Saccharomyces cerevisiae S288C: one gene and its partners. The main gene of each other region encodes a partner of the protein of the gene in region 4 in a complex. Each region holds a gene or a part of one and is shown on either strand. Other genes may lie near its edges. A codon is read from its position in the direction of its gene.

Region 1 (7,716 bases), on a different chromosome or scaffold from region 4:
TGTTACTTGGTTTTGTTTCCTTTTTCATATTCACATTCTTTTTTTCTTCCTTTCTGTTCTTTGCCTCATCAGTAGACATATTGTCGTCATCGGATTCATCTTCAATAACGTCATTGTATTTATCCGCATCTGATTCCAACGGTTTAAAAGCCCTGTATTGGTTAGTTGAAGCCTTCCTAATAGTAGGTTGAAAAGTGTCTTTCTCGACGACTTCGGCTTTCTTTATTGGGCTGAATCTATTTTCTGAAGCAACATTTCCATTACTTTGTGCCTGGGATGTTGATTCAGATAATTCGAATGAAGCAGTTTCATTTGCTTGGTTGACCAAAGGAAAGTATTGTGATGGATTGGATGCATGTGCTTGGTGAGTTCTTGCATATATAGCAGGCGATGTTTTCAGAATCGTTGATTCATCGCCATCTGCACTAGCGGCAGTTGATTGAGGCACGTATGGTGAGTAGTTCATTTTGGTTGCGTCAGTACTTTTTGGCTTTGGTGGTGCCATATGTTGCTCCACAAGTTTGGATGCTTTATTATTAACATTTCTTGGAACATCTTGCACTTGAGAAATTGGTTTAGCTTCCATTGAAATACTTCCTGCTGGCAAGTATGTGGATTGAACTGTCTCTGAGATACTGTTTTCATCCTGAGTTAGCGGTCTGTTTTCGAGTGACAATCCACCAGTTGATGGTAAATATGCTGATGATGCTGATTTTGAAATGTTTTCTGGCTGCTCCTCGCTACTTCTTTCATTTTCAATGGAGGGAAGTGAATTTTCCATTTTCGATGCATCAGTACCCCGGACCTCCACGTTAGTTTGAAGAATCGGTTGGATATCGTCACTAATAGTTTGTATAGGATTTACTGTAGACGTAGGCTGGTGGTTGGGCTCCATAGGAAGAAGATTCTTCACATCGTTGAAGCCAGGTCCTTCAATATCCATTGTTTCATCTGTAACATCTGCAGAGTCTTTTAATGTATTTTGATCAGCATTGCTATTATCATGTGATGTGTGAGATTCATCTTCAGGCATACTTTTTTGAGAATGTTTGTTACCAAAATCATTGTATCCCGTCTCATGAACTTGCGGGACGACAGGGTCGATAGGCAAAGCTTCCACACTTGGTGAGTACATAAGCGATCCCTGCGAGGAATTAGCTTTAGTAGGTACCCCAATTTTGGGAGGAGGAAGAAATTCTGATCCGGTAGATATGATAGACTCCCTTCTTACTAAGTCAGGACTAGACACATAATTAGACGGCACTGTTCCAAGTTTGGGTGGAGCAGGGAAGTCGGCAAATAAAGATGGCACATTCGAATTAGACTTTTCCATTGGAACGCTATGGTTCTGTCCAAATTGTGGAGTGTAGGCCGTAGACTTTTTCTCTAAAATCTGCTGACTCTTCAAAGCCTTTTCGTTTGTATGCTGGTCTGTTCTAACTCTTCTCAAAGAAGCCATTTGAGGCTCAGCAGCAGCGAACTGTGTATTATGAATGCGCTGAGGAGATCCCTGCAAACTATCACCGATCCTATGCGTATACGGTAAGTTTGCTTCAACTAACCCCTTTGACACATTGGAAGGCTTTGAATGCAGCACACTATGGCTTGGTACATTATGGGCATTATGCAAAAGAGCTGTAGTATCCACATAGCTTTGCGAAGTAACTTGAGCTTGGAAAGGTGTGAATGTTTGGGTGAGATCCACAGTTGACGAATTGGCAGAAGATCCCGGTGTGAACCCATCAAAAACTTTCTTTTTATCATTTTTTTTATTCAATGCATCAATATCATCGCCACCAATATATTTATTGAAGGATTTATCTAATTGACCCCATACGCTGCTTAGTTTTGGTTTTGCAAGCCATCCTGTATTAGACTCGGAAAGCCTACTAGCCACCTCACTCAATTCACGAGTGAGGTTTATTGTTAAAATATCTTTCTTAGGCAGTTTTCGAACTGAGGAACTGAGGTAATCAGTATACTTTGTCCCCAGGCTGTTCAAACCTTGTTCTTGTAAAAGAGATGCATGGTATATCTTCTGGGGCAAAATAGATGAAAATCCTTTGAATTTAGGGTCATACGAGAATATATACTCGTAGATTTCATCCCATAGAATGCTTTCAAAAGTATTCATGTTTCCAATACTTTCAAATATAACGTCTGAATCTGCCATTACTGGCTCATTAGAAAGTGGTACGTTACCAATAATAAATAATGTACTAGCTGCGGCTGTCAAGCCCTTTTTGGTGAGGAATATACCGAACTCTATCAAAAATTCAAGGACAACAGGTGGTATAAGTAGTGGATCTTCATTATTTTCTGGGATATTAATCAGAACAGCTGCAACGATACTCTTCCAGTTTTCGGATGCCCATTGACTGGTCTCATTATTAGTGTAGAAACTTTTTATGGCCATTTTGGAGTTACCAACAAATACTTGAAAGATAAGGAGCAGAAAGTGTGCCAATTCTTTTTGGTCGTTTGGCCCCGCAGTAAACCCTTCATATAAATATTTCTGAATGACTTCAGACCATCTGTCTTTACCCATTAAACTGCCAACCAATAGTGCAATGGCATAATCCCTCTTGCTTAAAGCTAAGCGAAGTGCCTCATCGTGATTTCCCGTTTGTAAGAACGCCAGGACTCTCATCTGACAATTTATATCCAGTCTATATGCATTTGGAATCATGTCACCGTTTGGAAAGGGCTGAGATAGGTACATTAAAAGTTCGTCAGAATTGTATAGTAGTTTTGAAATATTTTTCCAGTTAACTTTATCGTTTAGTTTCATTTCCAATAGTTGCCATATAGTCATATCAGTGGATGATTCATTTTCAGATATGGATTTAATAGTGGTTTCCATCCATTTGGTTAAATCCTTTTTTTTTAATTTGGCACTACCCAAAGGACCTGGGAAGCTTTTGAGCATATCGTTCGGTTTAATTATCTGGTCAATTGGTGTCACTTTTATTTCCTGTACAATGCTTGATGAAATCATGTACTGCGATTGGTCAGGGATAGGGGGGACTGCGTACACGACCTTGTTTGCAGCACTCCAATGAAAAATCGGAAATTGACGGCGTAATAAAGCCTCGTTGTCTATTTTAATTGGATTATTTTCCTGTCGTGGTGGTGCAACACTACTTGTAGCTCGATGCGTGATAATTTCTGGCAGTATGTTTTCAGCAAGTGGCAAATTTGCAAGAGGTAGTGAATTTGCAGCCGTTATGTTGCTTGCACGGGGTTGCAAGTTCGTAGCGGCTTGTAAGGGGTCTAGAGGTCGTAAGGGGGCTAAAGGTAAAATGCCAGTAGGCGGTTGAATGTTCGCGTGAGGCTGAATACTTGCTGAAGTTTGAGCCTGGGGCATCATAGGAACTGCATAAGAACTTCGGGTTTGGCTTTGATAGCTTGAATTCCCAGCTACAGGACCAACAGGTTGTGAGGTATATGGCACCTGATAAGATTGTTGATAGTTGGGTGCGTATCTAGAGGCGTGTTCATTCTGGTTTGGTGTATACGAACTAATAGAGCTTGTATGGCCTCTATGGGTCTTTACAAAATTGGGGGTATTTACGGCCGAAGCGCCAAGGTTTTGCACAACTGATGGATATTGCTTCTGCTGAACTGTAGGAGAGACGGGGGCATACTTATTCGCAGTTGGCAAATTTATGGTAGCTTGACCATATGGCGAAACCGGAGGTACCCCGTTATTGAGGCCGTACTGTGTTGCATGTCTAGCACCAAAAGACGCTGAACTTCCCACGGAGGCATTGCTGACCCCTCTTGCCCGAATTGGAGGAGCAGAAACGGTGGTTTCCACTTTTAATGCTGGGGGAGGTATGTTGGTATTTGGTAAAGGCATACCTGATTGGATAGGAGCCTGTTGTAGTTGTTGAATTTTGTATGGGTTAGGGAAAGCATAATTAACGGGAGATTGCGAGATCGCTGAGTTAGTTCTCGAAGATCGAGGCTCCTGCGTCCCCAATGGGATCACGGGTGGCCTATTTGAGTTATTAGAGCCTTTCCTGCTCTGTGGAATTGGTTTGTCCAAAGAACTAAAAGAATTCCCTGAGCCAAACCTTTGAGTAGGAACGGCAACCGGCTTTGCGTGACCCTTCTTGGAACTTTCTGAAATAATTTCCAGTGGAAAATCGTAAGCATCAGACTTCTTTTTCTCCTCATTTATCTTAAAATTTGAACGATTGTCTTTTACCACAGGAGGCTTAGGACTAACTATATTTGGTACACTGACTTGTTGGTTGGGGGTGCCTAGTCCAGTTTTAGTCAAACCGTGGAACTGCTGCGGTGTTACAATGCCAGTAGTATTGGTAAAATGAACTTGCTCTTGACGCATTCCTGCTTCCTCCTCGATAATAGGTTTATATCTTGAAGCCTTTTTTTCTTCAACTGGTTTTGAGGTTAAATTCGTTGTATTATCGGTATTAGGTACTGTGTCTTCTTCCTCAGAAGAAGCCAAAAAGCTGTCGTCGTCGTCCAAAAGGTCGTCGTCGTTTTCCAAAAACGAAAACTTTTGCTCAGCTATTTTCTCAGTACTAGTCTGCATGCTGTTTTCCGTCTTTCCCGATGATACTTCACCGTCAGAAACTTCCCAAGGAAGTTTCTCATCGTTTCCAGAAGCAGCAAATAAATCTTCATGTTTCTCTTGGGATTTGCTCGTTACATCAGCGTTTTTATCAGTAGATTCCCATGGCAAAACTTCTCCCAAGTCTCCGCTGCTCTGCGTAAACAAATCCTCGGCTTGATCTTGAATATCCTTACCAGGTTCTATAATGTCAGCTTCGGCAGACAACGGTAACTTATGATTCCCTTCCCCCATTAATTTCTGGCTTTCATTCTCAATATTTTTCCCAGTGAAATCATTTTGGCCTTCAACTACCTGTTTGTCGTGTCCGTGAAAGATATCTTCTGAAGTTTCTTCAGAGTACGACCTCTCGTCCGCGGCTGTACAACTTTCGGACTTTTTCAAAGCTTCGTTTCCTTCATAACCCTTATCACGATCATCTGTGTTCGGTGCCGATTCTTGAGTATTATTTGTGTTCTCATTATGAAAATCTTTCTTCACATCTTCCTCCCATGGAACCTTCTGATCACTTTCGTCATCTTGAAACAACATGGAGGTATCATCACCAGAATTTCTTATTTTATTCTCAGATGGTTCTGTACTAGACGTAAATAAGTTTTCTGCAGTTTCCTGATCAGCGATATCCTGTTTCTTTTCTTCGGTTGATACATGCGTTTCTAGTTTTAATCTTTCATCTTCTTCCTTTGAAAGTTCATCAGGAAGCACATTATTTGCGTTCAAACTAATTTCCTTATCATTACAATACTCATCGTCATTTATTTCATTGTCTTTTGTGCCTAGAGGAACATTGTGAGTTGGCGTATCACCAGAAGATAATTCTGGAGAAAGAAGATTGCCATCGGATGGGAGAAAATGATTATATTGAGAAGGGGTAGCATCGTTTAATGATGAAATTATTATGCTGTCGTGATTTTCACCCTCTTCTTCATTGAAAGAATCCTCTTCCACAGCGGATACGGCAATTTTCTGGGTATGTTCATTATTATTGTGAAGTTCTCCCGCGACTACATCGAGCGATGGATTTCTCGAAGATAAGTGAGCGGCAGTCTCTTCGTATTCTTGAGACATGGCTGGTTTTGTTTGGGTAATAACAGAGTCATGTTCAACGATTGAGTTGTCTGGCAAATCATTTGAGTCCGCGGTAATATCATGTTGATCAGAGTCGTTGAGCAGTTTATGATGCAATTCTTGAGTATCAGGTATTTCTAGTTGTGTTTCATTAGCCGGAGAGATATTGGTAGATGATGAGACCGGAGGAACATCAGATTTTGAAGCTATGTCAGATTCTGTACGGTTCACCGAGTCGTCGTTGAAGCTGCTGTTAATCGTACTTTCTGGTAATTCAAGTGGTTCTTCACTGTGGCTAGCAGCTTTCTCAGCAGCTTTTTTTTGCTTTTGCTTCAACTTCTTCTTTTGGTTTTTCCTTTTCTTGGCTTCAGGTGTCATTCTTAACACGTTATTAAATGAAGACTATACAAAATAATAGGTACAACGGTTTCCTTGGTTATGGCCAGTTAAATACCACTATTTTGAAAAGGGAATATTGATAACAGTTGTTGTCCAGTTTCTCAAGCAGGAGGGCTGCAAATATTCAATGACCAAAATCTTGTGTAACCTGCCAATTAACCTTTTCCGTATATCTTTCTCTTGCTCGTAAGTTTATAGTGGAAAATGCCACATGTACGGTCGCTTGAGGTTTGAAATTATGGATCAGAAAGTGATGATCACTTATAACGTTGTGTTATATTATTCAACAATGAGATATACAGCGATAAGACAGTGAGAGAAGGAGAAAGCACTTAAAAGAAGAAAGTCTTAACTTAGGATGAACTTCTGATTTTCAAAAGTCAATACTGCCACTGTTTGATTTTATTTTTCTGCCGCTTTCATTGTTTAATCATTTCACCTTTTATTATTTACTGTCACTGGCTCTTCCTCATGAAAAAAAAAAAATGGTCAAAAAATTTTGAAATTTAGTTAGCTCATCTCAAATTATCCAGTGCAAAGTTTTGAAATAAACAAGTCCTAAAAGCACCTAAGGAAAATCGAAGAACACCCTGACAAAGATGGCTCGTCATGGAAAAGGCCCAAAAACTAACAAAAAAAAGCTAGCACCTGAAAAGGAAAGGTTTATACAATGTTGTGCTGATATCACATTAGAGTTAACAGATTCTTTAACCTCGGGAACAACAAGAGAAATTAATCTGAATGGTTTGATTACTAAATATTCAAAGAAATATAAACTAAAGCAACAACCAAGGTTAACCGATATCATTAATTCTATTCCAGACCAATACAAAAAATATTTATTACCCAAATTGAAGGCTAAGCCAGTAAGAACAGCATCGGGTATTGCAGTGGTAGCCGTTATGTGTAAACCACATCGTTGTCCTCACATTGCATATACAGGTAATATTTGTGTTTATTGTCCAGGTGGTCCAGATTCAGATTTTGAGTATTCTACACAATCTTACACAGGCTATGAACCAACTTCAATGCGTGCCATCAGAGCTCGTTATGACCCTTATGAACAAGCACGTGGTAGGGTGGAACAATTGAAACAGTTAGGTCACTCCATCGATAAAGTCGAATATGTTCTGATGGGTGGTACATTTATGTCATTACCAAAAGAATATCGTGAAGATTTTATTGTGAAATTGCATAATGCACTTTCTGGGTTCAATGGTAATGATATTGATGAAGCTATTCTTTATTCGCAACAAAGTTTAACGAAGTGTGTTGGTATAACAATCGAAACTAGGCCTGATTATTGTACGCAAACACATTTGGACGATATGTTAAAATATGGCTGTACCAGATTAGAAATTGGTGTTCAGTCCTTGTACGAAGACGTTGCTCGTGATACTAATAGAGGACACACCGTTAGGTCTGTTTGTGAAACTTTTGCTGTGTCTAAAGATGCTGGTTATAAGGTTGTTTCTCACATGATGCCAGATTTACCAAATGTTGGGATGGAAAGAGATATTGAACAGTTCAAAGAGTATTTTGAAAATCCTGATTTTAGGACTGATGGGTTGAAAATCTATCCAACTTTAGTCATTAGGGGTACAGGTTTATACGAACTTTGGAAAACGGGCAGGTATAAGTCTTAT
Region 2 (3,589 bases), on a different chromosome or scaffold from region 4:
AAATTGAGACAGATAATTTAACCAGACACCTAATCTCTTTAAATTTATTTTACCATGTTCATTAATGTAGCCATCAGTATGTAAAAGAGCTTCTTTGAACGTTTGTAACAAAACGGGAAATGCTCCTTTGTTAAGGTGCAAATCTGGCAAATTGGGCAAGAAATCATTACCAATGACGAACATGACAAGAATAAAATCATCCAAAATACGTTCAAAATTGTATTCAAATTGCATTTCATCGGCAATTTCTTTGAATTCCAACTCCATGTATTCTCTTAATAAAGAAAGATGTAATAAGTAGAAATTTTGATGTTCAAGCGATTTTTTTTCACTATTTCTTCTACCAAATGTCACTTCTTCTCTCAATAACGCAAAATGTGGCCCATGAGTAGACAAACCCAGCATAATCAAATCTGCGTCAAGACCGTAAATACAATGTCTCGTATTCTGGTTGAAATCCTTTTGGGATTTTAAATGCCTTATAAAGTTCATGATCTTGTGTTCACCTTCACCTGGAACTTCATGGCCAGAAAATATGATTTGCACTTCCCTCCATTTGGAATCGTTAGAAATCTTGTCGTGAATAAAATATTGTAAGTTTTTGGTCAATTTGGCCATAAACTCCGTACCTGGAGTAATAGAATTCGAATCAAATGGCTCACCCTTAGGAATCTCGTCACCATTCTCAATAGCCTTCTTCAAGGCTTTTTCTGCATCCATAGCGGTTCTGAATCTACGAGCTCTTTGTTGATTCATCTTGGCACGAGGGGCCACACCATCAATAGCCATGTAGAAAATCTTCTTGGGCTTGATTGTTTGAAAAAGGTGATCGATATACGTACAGATTTTTGCAAAAACCTCTTCTTCAGTTAATCGCTTGGTTACATCATCGTCGTTACCATGCGTACAATTATGTAAAATCGAATTCATATCCAGGTATAAGTTATCAAACTCAGGAATCTGTGTTCCCTCAATAAGCTGTAAAATCATGGGCCATCTTTCTGAGATGTACCTGAAAAATTTTGGAATACCCATACCGTACTGATATATATTTGTTGCTGCTGTTGTTACAAGTGTTGATTTTTTTTCTCCTTATAGTACACGAATCGTCCTAGGATTAGTCAATTGCTTATTGTGAACCCGATTATAAGTACGGAAGAAGACAGTATCCTTTAGAAAATAAACTATTAACAGGAACGGAAATAAAAGGCAGAGAGAAAATAATAAAAGAATCGGTTCGCTTGTGCGAACGCCAAACAGATTTTATAATAACGGAAGAGCTGCTGAAAAAAAAAGCAAGCTGCAACTGTTATATTTGCGTAGATAAACTTTACAACCGGTAATTGGAAGTCGTAAGTACTTAGTTTGACGTTTTCAGTACTCGTTAAACTACTCCTTAAATTGCTTTCTAACCTCTTCTTGTTTGTCTCTGTTGTTACTTGCTCTGCGGTGGCGAAAAGACGAGCAAAGGAGGTTGTATATATCACTCAACACGGAATGTATTACAGCTTTCTCAAATAAATGTAGTTGAAAAAGACCATTAATCGTGAGAATAGTTACTGATCAGGTGATGAGACGATAAAAACAGTAATTGAGAGGGTTTTCACGGGTAGTGGGCACAATGTTTGGATTAAATAAAGCATCTTCGACACCTGCAGGTGGGCTCTTTGGTCAGGCCAGCGGAGCTAGCACTGGAAACGCGAATACTGGGTTTTCGTTTGGTGGGACTCAAACTGGACAAAACACCGGCCCAAGTACAGGTGGACTATTTGGCGCTAAACCAGCCGGATCTACAGGAGGATTAGGTGCATCATTTGGTCAGCAGCAACAACAATCTCAGACAAATGCATTTGGAGGAAGCGCCACCACCGGAGGGGGCCTTTTCGGTAACAAACCTAACAATACGGCGAACACTGGGGGCGGGTTATTTGGCGCTAATTCGAACAGTAATTCTGGCAGTTTGTTTGGTTCCAACAATGCACAGACGAGTCGTGGTTTGTTTGGTAATAATAACACTAATAATATCAATAATAGTAGTAGTGGCATGAATAATGCAAGCGCTGGACTATTTGGCTCTAAACCTGCAGGAGGCACTTCTTTGTTCGGTAATACAAGCACCTCTTCGGCCCCTGCGCAGAACCAGGGCATGTTTGGTGCAAAACCAGCTGGTACATCTCTATTCGGCAATAATGCAGGTAATACGACCACTGGTGGAGGGTTATTTGGCTCCAAACCGACAGGAGCAACGTCTTTGTTTGGTTCATCAAATAACAACAACAATAACAATAATAGTAACAACATCATGAGTGCGTCAGGCGGGCTATTTGGTAATCAGCAGCAGCAACTGCAGCAACAACCACAAATGCAGTGCGCATTGCAAAATCTATCTCAGCTCCCTATTACCCCAATGACACGGATTTCCGAATTACCACCTCAAATACGTCAAGAAATTGAACAACTAGATCAATATATTCAAAAACAAGTGCAGATCTCGCACCATTTGAAGGCCGATACAATCGATCATGATGAATTGATAGATTCCATTCCTCGTGATGTTGCATACCTACTGAAGTCAGAATCTGCAACAAGTCAATATTTAAAGCAAGATTTGAAGAAAATATCCTCATTTAAATCGCTAATCGATGAGGACCTTCTAGACACGCAAACTTTTTCGGTGCTCTTACAGCAACTATTAACTCCGGGAAGCAAAATTTCTTCTAATGACTTAGACAAATTCTTTCAAAAGAAAATTCATCTCTACGAGAAGAAGTTAGAGGATTACTGCCGTATTCTCTCTGATATAGAAACTGCGGTAAATGGCATTGATACAGATTTATTTGGCGCCCCAAATAACCCTAATTCTACAGCTATCACAGCAGATCTAGGTTCATCCGAAGCAGAGAACCTACTGCAGTTGAAGACAGGCTTAGCTGCCATAGTCTCTACTGTCATTGAGGAATTCACACTGTTTATGGATATCGCTGAGAGAATCGCCGTGTTACATCAAAAAACGAAAACACTGGCATCATTGAGCATATGAGTAAATCGCCCTGAAAGTTTATATAGTGCGTATAACAAGTACAAATGTCTTGTACAAATGTAATTTATACTAAATGCAATAGAATATAACATCAATCACAGTTTTTCAGTCACCATAATGGCGTCTTAGAGGCCGAACTAACTTTTCTTCGTGAAAAATTTTTTGCGATGAGATGGGAAGGAAAAAAAGTAATATTGACATCTTCAATTGAGAGATATTACCTGCAAAAAGGTACATACGATAGTAGAAGTTATCGAACAGGCAAGCCACCATGGATATTTTTAGAGTATTAACTAGAGGAGCTTCCGTGAAGAAAGAGTCAGGCCCAAAGGCTAAGGCAGCAGATTACAGCGTTATAAATGGAAATGATGAGAATCATAAGGAAGATAATAATGAAAGCCAGATCGTGAAAGAACTTGATTTCTTTCGAAACAAGAGAATCATTAGCAAGGTAGAGGATGATAGAGAGAAGACAACCGAAAACGATTCTCCAAACAAAGAGGAGAAGAGCGGCAATGATGATGGTCTGATAAAACCAGTGATTACCAA
Region 3 (6,594 bases), on a different chromosome or scaffold from region 4:
TTGTTCCAGTATAAGAATGTTTACATAAAAAATTCGAAAAAAAAAGATAAAATAAGGGAAAAATATATATATATTCATTAAGAAGTTTTGTACACAACGGAGCCAAGATTTCACCAGTATTTGGAGACAAATGTGAGCACGTTATGGTATTTACTTACAGATTACGATCTGTTCAATGCATCAGAAATAGGAAGAAATTCAAAATAAAATAAAAAAAATATTAGGAAGGAGTGAAAAAGCAAATAAGATGATACAGTAAGGTGGAGTTAATGTCTTTCTTCTCCAAAATGTATTCTTGCTAACCAAAAATCTGATTCTCTCTGACCTGTTCGTTTGTCTTATGTATGTAGAATCAATTTCTTACAGAATTTTAAATACTGTATAGTGGAAAAGAATAATAAATAAATACTCGACTATATTTACCTTTATCTTAAGGAAAAGTTCACTCGATATTCTTAACTTTACCGTCTAGTAAGGCCTCTTTATTACATTAAAATATACACGTACATTACCCTGCTATCTATATGTCGAACATGAATTTTTATTCTTTGTAGAAACAAATCCCCAAATTATTGCCGCTGTTCTTAACGTACTTTTCAATTGGATCATTATCAATTTTGTATTCCTTCAAGTGAATGATATCGTTGTAGGAAATAATGTCCCTAAATTTCCTGTCCGATTTGTACCATTCGTGAATTAACCAGGTCATTTCTTTATTAAATACGGAATTATCGGAATCTGATGTCTCGATTAGTTCTTTTAAAATATAGTACATTTTGTTGAAAGAAACACCCGCTGTTATGAATATAGAAACTATCGACCCTGATACAATATGTTCCTTAGGTAGTGTTTCGTAGAAAAAATTACAGACAATGGGAAAGAGTTCGAAAATGGGGAAAATGAATTCAGAATCCTGAACATTTTTACCAATTTTAATCAGTACATTAGACAGTAAGTTGATGAAGTTCATTGAATCTTCTTTCTTTCCGGTATTATTAAATTCCATCCTCAAAGATTGGAATAGCTCATCCCACTTGGCCATAATTACTTCATGGTCCCTAAAATCTGCTATCTTGAAAATGAATAGGGCAATTTCATGGTAACTTAAGGGTACAGCAAAATCATTAAACAGCTCACTTGTGCTCAATATTTTACCATCTAGAGTTTTGATCAGCTCATCTTTAATGGCTGAATCTATTCTTGCGTCTGTATACACGAGCGACAATATATCACCTTGAATACCAGCAACTTCACATGCATCTTGGATCCTACTAGCTAATTGTACAATTCTTTGTTTCTGGCTTAATGGTGACACACTGTTGCAAAAACCATTGGCGCGTGAAAGAAACTCAATTCTTTCAAACAATGTGATGTCAAAATTCGATGTAGCTAAACGGTAAAGAATTTCAGCAGATTCGAAAAATTTAGATCTTCTTGAATAATAGACCCAGAGTATATTAGATATCTTCAATGAACTACCTGCCTTTTCCATTAAATAAGGGAGTATGAATGGAGTTTCAATATCTAATAGTTTTTCCTCTCTGTTCTGAGACACAAGCCAATCATACATATGATAGTGGAATAATCTATCGTTATATTTTAGGGCGGCTTCATAACTTTTTTGTCTCAGTTTCACTTCATCGTCATTCGATATCGAAATTTGGTTTTGAGTTTTTGATGACTGTTTTTTTTCGGCAAGTTCGTCTACTTTTATTAAAGTATCAAAAACTAGGTCATAAACTAAGATACGTTTGTCGTAATATTGTTTCCTATCATCATTTTCTAAAAATCCATTTGCCACATATTGACAAGCTAGTTTGCCTTTGTCCATAGAGTTGGCAATATTCAATAAGAATTCAATAGATTTTGGGTAATAATTTACACTCAGCATCATTGATACAGCTTCTTTCAATTTCTCGATAGAAAGATCATCCACAATTTGTTCAAGTAAAGCAGTAGCATTTTTCAGGTGATAGTTTAGAGAATCATAGTTACGCAAGCCAATTTCTTTAGCCCTTCTAAGATGTTCAATGGCTCTAAATCCTAATATATCACTTGCAGAGCAGAATGATCCACAGCGTTCTTGTAAAGCTGTTGCGGTATACTCTATCGACGCACCTTTGGTGATATTCCTATTGATGATGGATAATAAAATTTCTCTAATTAATGATTTTGTTTTGTCATTTGGAGCAAATAAATCTTTAAAATCTAGTTTGACTAAATCTTTTTGGACGTCCAAGCTTACAAAACTGATTATATCCTTGAAACCAAGGTATTGGTTGTCGAATCCTTCGACTTCGCTTTCCTCGTATAAAACGTTCAAGAATGATAGACCTTCCTTTATGGACTGTACCATTTTGATCATCGCATTAATCGCTATACTTTCCGCTTGGTTTGCAACTTCTTCTGTTTTATCAATAACCCTGCCGTTAGAATTGTTCGCTAATACGTAGGGAGCTGATATTTGGGAAATTGAATCACCATAAGTGATGAAAAATTCATTTAAAATGTTAATTGAAGATAGATAGTACTCGATACAATCCTTGGAAATAGAAACCTTTGATATTATGTTCCTATTTTGTGAAATTTCATCACTTTTTAGGTTATTAATAGATGGAGTGATTGGATCAGAAGAAGAAATGAAAGCATGGGATGTCACCCTATTATCTGTAAAAGTCATGAAGACATGTCTCCCCCAAATATCTCGAAGTAGTCTGGTAATCAATAATGCAATACCGTAAAATCTGGGGGATAATATTACGTCATCTAAGTCAAAATCTTCCTTGTTTGCAGGGGAGGGTTTACTAAAGCCAGTTATTGATTGTTGGAGATTAGTTGTTGCGGTTGATAAAGTGGGCTTTGACAATAAAGAGGATACTGTAGATACAGAATAACGGTTGTAGACAGGTTTGATGTCAACAACGCCAGGAATACCCATAGTTAAAAAAGTCAGGGCATTAGATCTTAATTTTTCAGATTTATTTGATTTGCAAGTAACAAACAATGCAGTGGAACAAGCTTCCGCGGCACCATAATTTAAGACGAATGGCAGCGGATTATCGATTAGATCCTCAAAAATTTCATCAGGAGTACGATATTTATAAATTTCGATAGAAGTGCTCGTCAAAACTGCTACCCTTAAAGTTTCTGATGTGTACTGTGTCGCAAATTCGTTAGCAAATCCTTGTGGCTTTGTCGTTGCATTAAACAACCCCGATAAGGGAATAATTTGTTGAACTGGGCCCGCAGTTTCCAAAAACGTGGCATTTTCAACGTACTTACCGTGTGTTTTCAAGATACCATAATCTGGAACACTAACGAAAAGCTTATGTTGTAAAGTAACTGGCTGTTGTTTGACAGTTTTAGACCCTGCGGTAGCGGTCGTTCCAGTAACAGATGAGTTCTCTTTTTTTTCTTGTTGATGAGTTTGCTGAGATGACTTGATCACAGCGGAAAAAAATATGCCTGGGGAAATAATTGTACTTGCTTTTGTAGTCTCTAGTAATACAGATGATTTCTTTTGGAATTTTAAGAGGACTGGTTCGGAAGACATTAGATTTGAAAAGAAAGGAAAGCTTCTCTTCGCCTGTTCCTGTTGTTGATGTAGTAATTCTTGTTGGATGACTTCAGGAGTTACAGAACTAGGGGGGAACTTGATCGATTCTAACCTCAAAGCTTCGATGTTAAATCTGCCCATGGAACCATTAAAGTACAAACGCACACCACCTACTGTTAAAGCAACTAAAAACAAATTGTTGTTTTCTTCTGGTGCAACAGAGCTTATCTTGACAATTTTTAGGTATTTGGGGCCCAAAATCGGTGCTGCCCTTGCCGTCGTGGTACCTATGATCCTACTGATGTAGGCAGGCTCAATTGACATGGGTCCTTCCAGTGATTTTTCTGTTATTACGTATGCTCTAATGGTGGATTTGGAGGATAATGAATAGATGATTCCTCTTTGTTGGTCAATAGTTAGTTGCGTGATGGTCTCTTGAGAAAATCCGCCATTACCGTTAGAATTATCTTCGAACAAAGCCTGAATAAAATCAACACCTGGAATCTGCGATAACATGTTAGTAGGTAGAAGACTTAATAGGGCAGACTTTGTCAGACAGACCTTACTACATTTACTATTGAACCAGTCATCGGAACCTGAGTAGTGCAACTCCCAGATATTCAGGCCACTGGCTTGGCCTGCGAAGAAAATTCTACCCGATCTTTCATGAGACACAATGTCTATTACATCAATGCCTTGTACAGGGACTGATAGATGTGTATTGAATACACTGAGTTCGTTGGTGGCTTTGTCTAAGGAAATAGCAAACATGAAAAGCTCCATTGTCGTGCTTATCAAAAGTAGATGCTTCACGGCAGGCACAAAGGTGTTTGGCTTAGGTCTTACCAAGGCGACTTTTTGAATGGTATGCTTCATATCATCTACCACCTGATACTCATTGTCATTGTTAATATTCCAGAGTATCAGTTTATTATCAATAGTTATCCAACATCGATTTAACTCCGGGAAAATACCCATATCAGTTTTTGTCTGTGAAGTGGAAAATTCATGCAAAATCTCGTCCGGAATGTTGAACACATCTTGCTTTTCAAATGGAGTAAACGCTCCTAAGCCGTTTTTTTCTCTGCTGAAGTTATAATCTACCCCGCTGTTATAATAAGATCGTTCGTCGAGTACGGGAGTGTTACTATCTTTATGTTGTAGATGGTCAATGTACTTTCCCGCTAAGTCCAGGGGCTTAGAAGTCCCCATCCCGGAAACACGAATGTGCTCATTCATGTTGGACATATTAGGATTGATGCTGCCAGAGGTCGCCCCCATTGCGCTTGCCCTCATGAGTGGGTTGGACCCGGTAATTGGATATGAGTTTAATATGTGTGTAGGTTGTTGTTGCGCCTTGGTTGCAGATGAGGCCAACTCATTCAGTCCATTCCTGGGTACTTCTTGATGATTCGTTAAAGGGTACGATCTGCTATCTGAAAACGTTTCACCGGCAGCAGCGGGCCCATTGTTGTGGAAAAAACTTTGAAACATGAACAACCGCTAGAAAGAGAAGTAATAAACGCACTCTGCTTTTTTGTCCGCTTGTCAGATCCTAGGTTCCAGTAATTCTCCGAAAGAACTGTTCACTAATATGTTCAGAATTCTACAATATTAATGTCCCATCTCGAAAAATTGTTTTTTTTTTTACAAATAAAGTAACAATCCTTCGTGCAACACGATATAGAGTACATTGAAAGCGTGTCACAAAGAACACATCCATAATCATGGTCCATTGCAAACATTTCAAAGTAAAGAAGAGGATATTTGGGTCTTAGAATCTCATTGGAAACAATCCTCGTTTACTAGAGACGTTAATTCCACTTTCAAAAGCCCTGAAAGATTAACTTTCTGATTTTAGGTTTATTATTTTTTTGTTGTATGCCCTTGTTAAAAATTTAAATAACCCTTGTTTAGATAGGGTTTAGTTTTCCCTTTTGTTATGATAATAGTAGTTATAGTAGTAATAAGCTTGACGTGATGTACTTAGTCGTACCACCTAGTAATAGTGTTATTGTTAGCATTCCTGTCCAAAAAGACCAGAGTAGGAACTAGATATGTTGCGGCTTGCACGTTTTTATTCTTTGGCCAGAACCAAAGCCATACATAGTCACGGTGCACCCTTCAGGCCGGAATATGCATTGAAGTGTGGATTGGAGATTCATACGCAATTGAACACCAAAAACAAGCTTTTTTCACAATCAACGAATAGCGCCACATCTCTAGTGGATGCACCAAACCATCATACTAGTTATTATGACATAGCTCTACCGGGAACGCAGCCGGTTTTGAATCTGGAAGCAATCTTGTTTGCCATGAAACTATCCTTGGCACTGGGTTCTCAAGTGAATAGCATATCTCAGTTTGATAGGAAGCATTATTTTTATGGAGATCAACCTCAAGGCTATCAACTGACGCAGCACTACAGGCCGTTTGCTCGGGGTGGGAAGATCAATCTGTCGAAGGAATTGGATGATATCGATGAATCAGCCAAGGAAATCGGTATCTTACAGTTGCAGATAGAGCAGGACACGGGGAAGTCACACTATACAGAGACAGATAAAGACGTTATTACTTTGGTTGATTTAAATAGGTCGAACGTCCCGCTTATCGAATTGGTAACTAAACCAGATTTCAGTGATATTAAACAGGTTAGAGCGTTTATTAAAAAATATCAGAATTTGGTACGTCATTTGCACATTTCCTCTGGGGACCTGGAAACGGGCGCCATGCGAGTGGACGTTAACCTCTCAATTAATGAATATGCACGCGTTGAGTTGAAGAATTTACCCAATACTAGTTCCATCATCAATGCAATCAAGTACGAATATCAGCGGCAAGTTGAGTTGATTTCTGTGGGTGACACTAGCTCACTGATGGAGCCAGAAACAAGGGGCTGGACAGGCTCATCAACGGTGAAGTTGAGAAGCAAAGAAACCACGATCGATTACAGGTACATGCCTGATCCAGAATTGCCGTATATCAACCTCGCACCAGACGTTATCAGTGGTGTGAGAGGGTTGATGCCCCAATTACCG
Region 4 (3,414 bases):
GACATTGCGGATGGAGGGTTTTGGCCTTAAGTTTGATTACCAATACTTGCGTGGTGGATAGCCCTGCCAGTGCGTTGGACGAATCACCTGTACCCTTAGAAAAAGGCAAAGCGACTCACGCTGAAGTACTGGAGAATGGTAAAATCGCCTCTAATGACGTGCAAAACTTAATTGCTGCCGTAATGGGGGAATTATAATTGTTATAACTTAAATACCTCTATTTATTACATAGCGGGAAGATGTACCTTCGGCCGGTAGAATAATTTCGCCTGTTCTATTGAAGAAAAACAGTCTTATATATCTATTGTATATACGTCGATTATTTTTGTTCGCTTGTTTTTGTATAAGAAATATCTATGACAATATTAATATAAGAAGTTGCAAAAAAAAAACAAAGAAAAAAGTTGAAAAGTTTTTGAAAACTTCCACAAATCTTTAATTGTTATACGTTACTGTACATTATGCGTTTATTTCCCTTCAAATTCGTCGATAGACTCATTTGCATTCTTTTTTCTTTTGAGATGTTTCATTTTAAATTCTTGATACTCTTCACTGATGAACTTCACCAGCGGGTTCCCATTTACCCTCAAGATTTTCCTTCCATAAAGTAACTTTATTATCGCCACCGGAAAGAGCTAGTACATTACCTGACAAAGACCAACTGGCTCTCCATAAAACATCTGGGAATTTTTCTTCTTTTAATAAAGTTTTTTTCCATGGGCCTTGTTCATTGTCTTGAGTCCAAATAATACAGGTGCGATCTTGAGAAACACTGGCCAAATAAGAACGTAGAAGAACAGTAGGTGACCATGCTACGTCTCTAACCCAATCGCTGTGACCTTCTAAGGTGCTTTCCAGAACATAAGTTTGGGCATCTGAATTGTACTTCCAAATCTTTACCAAATTGTCAGCACCCCCAGTAACAAACTTGCGAGATTCTTTAGTACCGTTGTGTTCACCATCTTCTTCGATGGTAGCTGGAGCCCAAGAAGCAGAGTTAACGCCAATGGCATGAGCATCGATGATTATTGGGGAAGTAGTACCGTTTTCTTTGAACTCTACTACGGAGACCTTACCATCAGAGGAAGCAACCAGCAGTAGGGGGCCATATTCATGAGGAGCCCATTGAACAGAGTTGACAGAAGCAGAGTGGACAGCATGAACGGCAATTTGAGACCATCTACCGTTTTCTTCCTTCCAAATCAACACTTTACCATCATAAGAACACGATGCCAAAATGGTTCCGAATTTAGGATGTGCCCAATCAACACGCCAAACTGGGCCTTCGTGGCCAGTCAACGTGTCTATTAACTTGTGTGTTTCTCCTTCGACTTCAAAGATCTTGATTGTCTTGTCAGAAGAGCAGGTTGCAAGGCGCTTCCCATAATAGTCTAGAACAGCGTCATGGATTAATTCGTTGTGCGCATTAGCTATGACGACCATTTGTATGCTGATATAAAATTATCTGTTATCTTTGCGCTTGTAAGTTATTATTATTCAGAGCTGGAAGCCAATTGTATCACCTTCGCCAATGCACTTTCACTGTTCGAAATTGTGTTGATCTCAATGGGGTTAAAGCTCTAGGGTGGTAATTCTCTGTCGGTTTCGCTTTTTTTCTTCTCGCTGTTCGCTTTATTGAAAACTTTCGGGTAATGCGTGGGTGATTTCTATGGATAGTCTATGTATATATCTATACAAACCACATCATATGGCGAATATCTGAACATTGAAGTCCCAGCCCGGGGGACCTTGTGCTTGTTGTTGTTGTTGTTGCTCTTGCTGCCGGTTACCATTTGCATTTAATTGTGCTCCATTGAAACGGACATTCCAGCCTCTACGGGCCGCCAGTGTACTCATTAATATACTTAATAGGAATATCCCCAAGATACATCCCATCGTAACAAGATCCTCCATTTGGAAGCCCAAAATCTCGGAAGCCTCCTCTTGGTCGTCACCCCTATGGTTAGCTCCATTCTGCACTACAGTTCTGTGTTTGTGAGAATCTTCCGCAGCTTTGTCACTATCCTCCTTATGTCTCATTCTTTGTAGAATCTTCGTCAATTGCTTGTACCATGAAGTCTTCGAGTGCTGAGTATCTTCGTTAGGGTTAAGTGGCGAGGAAGGTTTCCAGTAGTTTACTTTTTCTCTGGTGATCCAAGTCAACCATGACTTTAGGTGTAATTTTAAAACACTCAATTTGGAAGCCAAGTAAAATCTATGATCGTGTTCTGAAACTTGGTCGTAGTAACGTTTAGCAAGATGGAAATCTCTGTTTACACCTAGCCCATGCTCATGCATGTACCCTAAGTTCCAGATAGCCTGTATAGAGTACTTCAAAGCTGCACCCTGATAAAGAGCCATAGCTTTACTGTAATTCTGCATCTGAAAATAGATATCTCCCGCGACAACACCAGCATCTATATTTCCCTGTTTAAACGCTCTTGTATAGTAGGAAATTGCCAAAGTTTTTCTCTGATCTGTGGTTCTTGGAGGATCCTCAAACTCATATGGCAACTGGTACATTAAGTAGGCGGCAGAGACTTGAGCAGTCTCGTAGCCTTGCTCGGCTAGTTGGGAATAAGCCCATAAAGCCACTTCTGAACGATCGTTGATTAATGCGGCAAATGCTGTCCTCAGTTTAGGTGCCATAATAGCTTCGTTTTTGTCAACGAATGTTTTGAACAGGTAAGCAGTGTTTTCCACACTACTCTTACTGTTCATTCCAGATTCGATCATTACTGCAAACTCATATATGGCTGGAATGAATCCATTCAAGTAGGCAGTTTCCATTAAGTTAAATGGGTCGCCGATTTTTTCTTCAGGGAATGAAGTGGCCAATTTGGATAATTGGAATTCTACGATTCCATTGTTAGCTTGTGTTTTCATAGCTTTCATATAATACGAAATTGCTTGAGAAATATTGTTTGTGATGTATTGATTTATTAAGCCCAGATCTATGCACGCTCTACCTATAGGTCCCTGTGCCCTTCTGCTTATTTCTAGCGACGTGGTCAGGATCTCTTCGGCCATATGAATATTAGGCTTCGAGGAGCCTTCGCCGGTGAAATACATGTGCCCCAATAATTGTAAGCAACGGACGTAGTAAAATACTTGCAAAGGATCCAAATTGTCGACATGAGGCTGAAATTCCTTGTACGTTAATTCCAACAAGTTTTTGGCGCGCTCACAATTTCTGCTTTGTGAATATGTTCCTTTATAATCATTCAAAGCTGCATAATATATCCGAATGATTCGTCTTTCACTGGCATCCTCGTCATCTTCGTCGCCATTTATGTTGCCATCGTTACCGTTGAAAGCGAACCTACCCATCGGTTCGATTTGCAAGGTCATCTGTACACCGTTAACTTGCGCAATAAAGGGTGAACCAATATCTGGTCTCGTAGTTCTTTTCCT

What was found.
Region 1: the proteins of SEC13 (region 4) and SEC16 are in contact, whole or in part, in a crystal structure (PDB 3MZK), measured with the Saccharomyces cerevisiae proteins. Residues at the interface, in NP_013309.1 of Saccharomyces cerevisiae: Met1 (codon at 1,443), Val2 (codon at 1,440), Val3 (codon at 1,437), Ile4 (codon at 1,434), Ala5 (codon at 1,431), Asn6 (codon at 1,428), Ala7 (codon at 1,425), Leu11 (codon at 1,413), Ile12 (codon at 1,410), His13 (codon at 1,407), Asp14 (codon at 1,404), Ala15 (codon at 1,401), Val16 (codon at 1,398), Leu17 (codon at 1,395), Asp18 (codon at 1,392), Tyr19 (codon at 1,389), Tyr20 (codon at 1,386), Gly21 (codon at 1,383), Leu24 (codon at 1,374), Thr26 (codon at 1,368), Val38 (codon at 1,332), His63 (codon at 1,257), His110 (codon at 1,116), Glu111 (codon at 1,113), Ala156 (codon at 978), Thr157 (codon at 975), Ile158 (codon at 972), Glu159 (codon at 969), Glu160 (codon at 966), Thr167 (codon at 945); in NP_015240.1 of Saccharomyces cerevisiae: Arg990 (codon at 3,082), Arg991 (codon at 3,079), Gln992 (codon at 3,076), Phe993 (codon at 3,073), Pro994 (codon at 3,070), Ile995 (codon at 3,067), Phe996 (codon at 3,064), His997 (codon at 3,061), Trp998 (codon at 3,058), Ser999 (codon at 3,055), Ala1000 (codon at 3,052), Ala1001 (codon at 3,049), Lys1003 (codon at 3,043), Val1004 (codon at 3,040), Val1005 (codon at 3,037), Tyr1006 (codon at 3,034), Val1008 (codon at 3,028), Pro1009 (codon at 3,025), Val1024 (codon at 2,980), Gln1025 (codon at 2,977), Glu1026 (codon at 2,974), Ile1027 (codon at 2,971), Lys1028 (codon at 2,968), Val1029 (codon at 2,965), Thr1030 (codon at 2,962), Ile1035 (codon at 2,947), Ile1036 (codon at 2,944), Gly1271 (codon at 2,239), Thr1273 (codon at 2,233), Ala1274 (codon at 2,230).
Region 2: SEC13 (region 4) and NUP49 share a complex: the UniProt entries of both Saccharomyces cerevisiae proteins name them as parts of the nuclear pore complex.
Region 3: SEC13 (region 4) and NUP170 share a complex: the UniProt entries of both Saccharomyces cerevisiae proteins name them as parts of the nuclear pore complex.

The regions. Positions count from the first base shown.
Region 1 is NC_001148.4:385,400-393,115, reverse strand, and holds the start of SEC16 (COPII coat assembly protein SEC16), read right to left. Parts: upstream 6,050-7,716; coding exon 1-6,049. Other genes in the region: Elongator subunit ELP3, read left to right, coding at 6,670-7,716. UniProt on the Saccharomyces cerevisiae protein: Involved in the initiation of assembly of the COPII coat required for the formation of transport vesicles from the endoplasmic reticulum (ER) and the selection of cargo molecules. Also involved in autophagy.
Region 2 is NC_001139.9:179,079-182,667, forward strand, and holds NUP49 (FG-nucleoporin NUP49), read left to right. Parts: upstream 1-1,621; coding exon 1,622-3,040; downstream 3,041-3,589. Other genes in the region: chromatin-binding exonuclease XRN1, read right to left, coding at 1-1,035; RNA-dependent ATPase ROK1, read left to right, coding at 3,312-3,589. UniProt on the Saccharomyces cerevisiae protein: Functions as a component of the nuclear pore complex (NPC).
Region 3 is NC_001134.8:73,715-80,308, reverse strand, and holds NUP170 (Nup170p), read right to left. Parts: upstream 5,051-6,594; coding exon 542-5,050; downstream 1-541. Other genes in the region: glutamyl-tRNA(Gln) amidotransferase subunit PET112, read left to right, coding at 5,614-6,594. UniProt on the Saccharomyces cerevisiae protein: Functions as a component of the nuclear pore complex (NPC).
Region 4 is NC_001144.5:557,580-560,993, reverse strand, and holds SEC13 (GTPase-activating protein SEC13), read right to left. Parts: upstream 1,444-3,414; coding exon 550-1,443; downstream 1-549. Other genes in the region: PNP1 (purine-nucleoside phosphorylase), read left to right, coding at 1-197; ubiquitin ligase complex subunit HRD3, read right to left, coding at 1,705-3,414. UniProt on the Saccharomyces cerevisiae protein: Functions as a component of the nuclear pore complex (NPC) and the COPII coat. It is one of 5 proteins constituting the COPII coat, which is involved in anterograde (ER to Golgi) double-membrane transport vesicle formation.